2 linked regions of the Tribolium castaneum genome follow. The protein of the gene in region 1 interacts with the protein of each later gene in a pairwise test. Links are inferred from orthologs where the notes say so. Each region holds a gene or a part of one and is shown on either strand. Other genes may lie near its edges.

Evidence for each region.
Region 2: the proteins of Deaf1 (region 1) and transcription factor Clamp interact in a two-hybrid assay, tested with the Drosophila melanogaster proteins (2 studies listed by BioGRID). The link is inferred for Tribolium castaneum from reciprocal best matches to the Drosophila melanogaster genes Deaf1 and Clamp.

Annotation. Positions count from the first base shown.
Region 1 is NC_087394.1:24,926,955-24,931,122, forward strand, and holds the start of Deaf1 (deformed epidermal autoregulatory factor 1), read right to left. Parts: upstream 2,830-4,168; 5' UTR 2,430-2,829; coding exon 1,826-2,429; intron 1-1,825. UniProt on the Drosophila melanogaster protein: Transcription factor that binds the homeotic Deformed (Dfd) response element. High affinity binding sites contain at least 1 TTCG motif surrounded by additional TCG sequences.
Region 2 is NC_087401.1:13,233,164-13,237,178, reverse strand, and holds the start of transcription factor Clamp, read right to left. Parts: upstream 2,859-4,015; 5' UTR 2,592-2,858; intron 1-2,591. UniProt on the Drosophila melanogaster protein: Transcription factor involved in X-chromosome dosage compensation in males, the process by which transcription of the single X chromosome in the male is elevated. Binds to the DNA sequence (GA)n.

The sequences.
Region 1 (4,168 bases):
TAAATAACAGATTTTAGATAAATGATATGTGGCAACGTTGTCTAACAGTCATGATCGCAATTCAGAAATAAAATTAACTAGACGCCCTCTGGTGTTGACTTTTGAACTATGTCGAAAACAGTAAAAATTCCACATTTAACTGACATTTAATGAATTGTTCAACAATTTTGCGTGTATAGTGTTAATTACTTACAATAGAAAGAATCACTTTAAAAGTACGTGGTGGTAAAAACTAGCTTTGACTTTGGTTCTGTCGTTTTTCGTGGTATAAAGTGTTTATTGTTGGAACTTGAAAGTGGATAAAAAGTGAAAAATATTTAAATTTTGATTACAAAGTGTTATCAAACAGTTGTCTAATTAAAGATTATAAGTAATGGATCACAGCGAACACAAAGTTTGGCTCAAGAAACCAATAAATTAGTGAAGTGTGTGAATTTTAGGTTAGAATTTTCCACTGAAAAAATCATGAAATGCTGCGGTAAATCTACAAAACTACAATAAAGATTAACAACTGCTGATACATTTAAACGTAAATTATGCCAAAAGGTAGGCTTTTCAATGTCTTTGTAGTAATTTTCCAATAAAGAAAGTGAACCAAACAGTCATTCGTTATTCGTGTTTTCCTCGTCATCTCTCATTTGTCAACAGAAGTTTTTTGCATCAAAGATACAATAATCATTCCGCATAGGCAATGCAATAATTGTGAAGCCCCAAAATTCGTACAACGCTCAAAATATCCGAATAAACATTTTCCCGCCATTTATGGTTACTGTTTTCGACTTAGCTCAGTGGCGCCCCCAACGGTAATTTTACTTCCGAATAGAATTTGAGCAACAATAAAAATAAATCATTTTTGAAACGGTTTCCTAGGAAATAATTCCCAGTGTTGGCACATCTACACATTGTGATTTTTTGGCTAAATTTTAATTTTTTTAAATTAAAAAAACTGTTAAAGTCTGAAAGTACATTTAAAAATAATTATTCATCGTTTTGTTACGGAACGATTACCTGGTATGAAACATAAAAACATAAAAAATAATGAAAACTAAAGAAGTTAACACAATAAGTTTGCAGCTCCAGATTTTTTAAAATATGACTAGGAATTTTTTCAACATTTTTCCCGTAATCTGCACTTGCTTCTCAATAACGTACCACTGAGTTGGTGCGCCACTTTTTGAGCACCCTGTAGAGTAAAAATAGGTGGTTACCAACTAACATTTCAAAGTTTCCGCCAATTTCTCGTAGTTCTGGAAATTCAGTTATTTGGAAAATAATTTAGTTGAACTGAAATTGACTGGAATAATATACAAAATTTCAAATTTCTAGCTACATTAGAAGTTATAAAGTTTCTAATGTAGGGCCTAAAAGAATCATATGAAATGATATACAACCAATGTTACACACGTGCACACCATAAACTATATTTTGACCACTTCGGACTTTGAGAGGCTCTTTTATTTTTTATTCAAATTAGGTAATACTAGCATTTCCAAATAATTCATTAAAAAAAAATGTTTTGTTTTTCAGAAAAAACATAATTTGAAGGAAAAATCAATTAACGTTATTTAGCGTAAATTCTAATTATTATTATTATCTATGTTATGGTTATTTTGACGTGAAATCAGTGTGATAATACCACAACTTGTCTTGTGTTATGGGTAAGTTTCCCCTTTTCAGTGCTACATAACTCGAAAATCCCTCTTTCTTCCACTAGGTACTTTCACCCGGAAGCAAACATGATCTCAAACTTGAATGGAGCAACGTTGCCATTTGAAATGTTACACAATTCTGTGTTTTAAAGGGTCCCTCTGGAGCCCCCTCATACCTTCATCAATCAACGTTTGCAGACTCCTCCCGCCGAACCTAATACTCCTCTTCCAGTCCTTACTGGAGGCCCTTCCGCAGAGCGCCTCGAACTCGCTCGGCGTGTACCAACTGGAGCCCAACTTGATGCAGCGGCCTCTGCCCCCCGAGCCGAACCTGTTCTTGTGCAGCTCCGCCGAGGTGTTCTTGCACCTGACCGGCAGCACCGGCAGACTCGCCGCCTCGTTCCACGAGCCCAGGTTGGGCCCGGACACCGTCACCGGCGTGGAGACGGCCCCCGCCTCCGAGACGTCGCCCTGGATGACGATGGTCTTGAGCTCGGCCCCCGAGCCGTCGGTGGCGATGTAGCCGTTGTTGTCGACGCACAGCATCGGCTTGAAGTGGGGCAGCTGGTCCTGGGTGATGACGTTGAAGGTGCTGGTGATGAGCGAGCCCACCGGCAGGGACACCGGGACGCCCGCATGGCGCACCGAGACGGCGGAGACGCGCGCCTGCTTCACGTCCACGGAGGAGTCGCCATTCTCGCCGCCATCGTGCTCGCTCGCGAGCTGTTCGGCTTCGGAAATGTCCGGTAGGACGACGCCTTCCGAGTTTGAGTTCTCCATGGACGAAAACGCGGACACGACGACGTTTACCAAGGGTTTTTCGGAGGAAGCGGTCTCGAAGAGGTGGAGGAGTTTAACGGATTTACATGACGCCACTTGGGGTGATGACGATGACGGATGCACGGTTGGTTACTACACTTGCCGATATGCAGGCGGCGTGCAAGGGGCCGCGCATGCGCCGCGCCATTTTTGAATTTTACGCTCCGTTTTTCACAATGTAAGCGAATTTTAATTAAGACAATTAACCCATTTTACGACATTCCGTGAAAGAATTCAATCAAAATCAGCTTCAAAAACAAAGAAATTCAGATTCAAGCTGCAAATTTGTTACTGTTTATCCTTGATGGTGATTGGTGGTGGATATGTAAAGTGAAAGGTGCAAAAATTACGTAATTTTTAGATAAATATCTAATAAGTAATAATAACAATGAATAAATGAAAACAATAAGATTCAGAATTGTGGTTCTTTTATTAAAAAATTTATAAAAAATGCCAATTTTTCAAAAATCACTGCGAAGTCGCGTATGAATATTTTTCGATAAATTTGTAACAGAAAAACTCAGAATATCCCGTAGTTATAGCAGTAGTCGATTTTTACTTGAAACACGCAGGTAATGTACAGGGTGTGCCAAAACACAAAAAGTTGAATAACTCATTTTTTTCAAATGAAACACCATATATTTCTTTACACGCATCGATAGCATTTTTCATAAGCTTTCTAATGATATGCGGTTTGTATAGCAAATTTGAATATTTCTTAAAGTGTTAAAAAAATGTTCTTTTTTATTTATTTTATTATTAATTTTTGATGAGCAAAGTGAATTTATGTATCAAGTAATAATTAAAATACTAATGTAATTAATCACATTAGTATATATCAAAAAATAAATTACCATTTGACTTTTAAGATAACAAATTTTCTTGTACTAAAATGTTTTTTTTTTTTAAATCTCGAAAAATGTCTTAAATTTGCTATGCAAACCGTATACCATTAGAAACCTTATGCAAAATGCTATCGATATGTCTAAAAAATACATGGTGTTCCATTTGAAAAAAAAAATTGTTTAATTTTTTTAACATTTGTGAAGTAAAAGTCGACTATTTAGGTAAAACTGCAAGGTATTCTGAGTTTTTCTGTGGTAAATTTTCAGAAAATATTCATTGGCGACTTTGTAGTGATTTTTCAAAAATTGGTCTTTTTTATAACGAAAAGTTGAATAGTTTCGAAACGAAAACAGATAGACCTATAATAATTTATACAAAGTTACATTATTTTTTGTGTAGAATTTAATTATGCAAAAATATTTAGGGTGTTCTACTAAAAATAATATATCTTTTGTTCACCACACCTAGTGTATAATAAAAATATTTTTAGTTTATGTAATAAAAACGGTATGACTATATTTTAAATAGCAAAAAAATTATAGACCGGTAACACCGGCCACCCCTGGGTCACCCTGTATATGTAGTTAAATAAATACGTATTTAAACTTCTTCACCTCTACGAATTGAACGAAAACTTTAAATTTTTTTTAAAAAATACGAACCCATTGTTTACCTCAATAAAATATTAATTCTCTTTTCAACAAAAAATGTTAGGTATTATTAGCTATTTTATCGATAACATTGTAATATTGCCTGGACAAATCATTAATGAAAAAATTGTTTGGGATACTCCTACAAAGTATAAAAAATTTTATCACCATAGTCTTAAGTCTTAAGAGCTTTAGAAACGATTT
Region 2 (4,015 bases), on another chromosome or scaffold:
CTAATGATAGTCATCTGAAAATTTGTACACGACCATAATCGCTTCGGTCCTGCACTATGAAAATATTTTCAAGATGGTGGCACTTCCGGTTATACCGGAAGTCGCTATCAACTTCCTTATTTTAAATGGAAAGCTATATTTTTTAATGCGTTTTTGGATTACTAGAGTTATTTTAAGGTAGTTTTCATAAGCTTTCCCTATACCTAAATTTAGCCGTTTACGAAATATTTCGGGTTTTTAATTTTTTTTTGGATTTGCACCTTCCAGTTCAAAAATCGATAACTTCGCCATTTTTAAAAATTTGGAAATATTTTTTAGCTCATTTGGAAGGGGAAGCCTAGATCTTTCCTTTGGCGTTTTCAAATTTCTAAAAAAGAATAACAAACCCCAAATATTTAAAGTTATGTTTTCAGAACTTTAAGCACCCATAACTCAATTTTTTCAAATGAAATGCCACACGTTTTATTTCATTAAATCGTAGAGAATTTAATTCTGCATCGATCTGTATTAGCATTCCCTATACTTATGTTTAATAGTTTTCAACTTGCGATAACTTTTTGTTGGGATTGAGAAATTCATTAGCAGTAGGCTTTTTCTCGTAGGTAGCCATGGAAACGAGAGAAAAAATGTGAGAAATTAAAGTTTTTTAAACCAACATTCAATGAATTTATTTTGTTCTTACAGGACGGACAACACAATTTTGAACAGAGTTTGTCGTTTGTTTAATCAGAAATATTTTTACGGTCAACTATGCAAAAATAGCTGTGGTTAGTAAGAAAATTTCTACAATGTCAAAAAAACAGACATAACTTGAAAATTATCACACATAGGTATAGGGAATGCTAATACAGATCGATGCAGAAAAAAATTCTCCTCCATCTAGTAAAATAAAAATTGGGGCATCCCATTTGAAAAAATTATGTTATGGGTACTTGAAGTTTTGGGTTTATTAACTTCTTTACCAATTTTGAACACACTGAAGAACAGATTTGGGCTTTCTCTTTAAATTCTCCAAATATGATTTCGAAATCTCTAAAATTAAGAGAGTTGCCGATTTTTTAAGTGACAGGTGCAAATCCAAAACTTTTCAAAAATCTTAAATATCTCGAAAACGGTTAAACTTAGGTATAGGGAAAGCTGATAAAAACGGCCTTAAAATAACTCAGCAAATCCAAAAACGCAGTGAAAAACATAGCTTTCCATTTAAAATAAGAAAGTTGATAGCGACTTCCGGTATAACCGGAAGTGCCACCATCTTGAAAATATTTTCATTGAGCAGAACTCAACGGATTATAGCTGAGTACCAACTTTCAAATAAATATCTCTTTTAAAACTTTCAATATTTCTAATGTGGGTTTAGATGGAACAGACTGTAGAAAAATTTATGGGCAGGCTTTGTAGCAATTGGTGATCAGGTCAGAATTTCCAATTTCCAATATTAAAATGTACGGATAAAATTACGGTTATAAAAATTAAAGGAATATTATCATACAGAAAATACGCCAATAACTGAAAAAATATTCTTTTAAACTTGTTTACAGCAATACCTTAAAAATTTTGAACATAATCAAAGTATAAAATAGTAGCGTAACCAAGATACCCTATCGTTTAGACTATAAACATATTTTTTTACTAGAAAAATAATTTTTTACTAGACTAGAAATATTTATTATTGCCTCTGCCATAAAACTTGAAACACCCTGTAGTTTGTAAATTATTGTTGTAATTGTAATTATTATTTTTTATTCGAAGACCCATTAATTTTAAATAATTAATTTTTATATCGGCCTTATTTTTCGTATAAAAAATATATAGTAGAAGCGTTAAAAATTCTTTTGATTATTTAATCATTATTTTAATTACTTGTGTTTGGTAAAAATCGAACGACTTTTAAGAATTCACAACTTTGTGAAAAAATGACTTTTTTGTTTTTTTTTTGGTATTGATAGCAAATTACTTATACCAAATTTTATCTAAAACCATAATTCCATTAAGAATTGTTAAAGAAAATCGAAAATAATTTTTGAATTTTGAGCTATTATCCCCATCTTTTCGTTACACCCTGTATAATCCACAAGTAAATTTTTATATTAAAAAATAAATAACTATTATTATGCGTATAAAATATTTCTTGGTGTGAAAAAGACTAAAGAAAAAACAAAATTTAGCAAAGTTTCAAACCAAAATATGTAGATTTCTTCGGAGCGCGGACCCGTAGCTCCCCCACCGGCCGTTTTTTTAGCACTGGACTGACTAAATAACTACAATAAATCAAAAAAACGACGTTTCGATTAATTAAATTAATTGAAATTAATCAAAATTCTATACCGGCATCGCTACCAAAACCCCCTAAATTCGTGCAGAAAAGTGCCCACACCGGCAAAACCGAACCCCCCCATGCCGGTAAACCCCCCAAACCGTTCCCTTGGGCGCGGCATGCGCCCCCCACATGTCTATTTAGCCATAGAGCGCCGTCAATCAGTCGCATTTCAAAACTCTCACATCTCGCTCAAATTTATCTCTTTTTACAACAAAGACGCTGATAAAGTTGAAATGAAATAAGTGTAGAAGTAACAAAGAAAACCATTTACCTTTACTCTCACACGGCGCTGTTTCCACAGAGACGCCGATTTTCAACACCGGAAAAAACACTAATTTTCAATGCGACGCATCGCCACAGCCCCAAAACTATGTTCTTCGACCGGATTTTAACACTTTTCCACGGAAATATTGCGCTTTTCCGCCTCAAACATGCTATTTTCACGAAAAACACTTTAGTCTATCTCACTTTAGAAAATGGCGGATAGAGCCATAGCCATCTTTGTTCCCCTCGCTCGGACGCGACACCGAATGACATACGCATGCGGCGGAAATTCGATGAAATGGCACGAACATCGAAACAATGACGACGATTTATCGATATTATGTCATCGGTCATCTTATCTGAGTTATTATTTTTGTTGCATAATTGCGCTATAAATAGCAATTGCTGCAATCGATCGAAATTCGCACCGATTTTCGGGCTATTAATAAATTTTGCGTCATTGACGTATTATCATTCGGGGGAAAAATCACTCAAATCGGGTGATTTTTGCAAATAAGGAAGTGCCACGTCATTTATTGTTATTAGTGAACGATGCCGTCATTTTCATGTCGTATGATGCGTGACGTAATAAATAATAATATTTATTTTTATCGAATTAGCAACAATGATTGTCTATTGTTCCGATGACACTTGTTTTTTTGTAACCATGGTTACGTCTCTATTTCAACAAATCGATTACTGTTTTTAAATTACTTAACCATAATAAGAATTTTTTTCAGTAAAATTTATTGATAATTCTAAACCTTATAGCGACAACAGCGTAACTCAGAAAATAAATAGTTTCAAACAAAGGATAAAGTCTTGCAAACGATATTATTTACAAAAATTACAGATACAGTTGAGCGTAATTTTAGAGTGACACAGTGTTAAGTCCAATAATTATTTATAAAACATATAAAACTAAAAAAAATATATTGTGGAAGCAAAAACAATAATAAAACCATAAAAGAGCAACGCCAACAAATTTTTAAGGTTTTTTTTCTTAGGATTGCAAAAGGCAGTTTATTTTAGCAATTGTTCAAAAAATTATAATCTGGCACAGGCTGTGATAAAATTTAAGTCAAAATTTAAAATCATGTTAAAAAATTATACATAACAACTTTTATTTCCAAATTAATGTGCTAAAAGTGGGTCTGCAAATTAAACTATAGCTGACCAGTGAGTAAAAAAATTCGCATAAATAAAATCCTGGATAATGTAATACATCGTAAATAGTTATCATGCTTAAAGACTCATTATTTGAGAGAAAGGACTTCGAAAAAATATCTTGGTTTGGACATAAATATATAAGTAAATAAATATAATTATAATTATAAATATAAATATAAATATAAATATAAATATAAATATAAATATAAATATAAATATAAATATAAATATAAATATAAATATAAATATAAATATAAATAT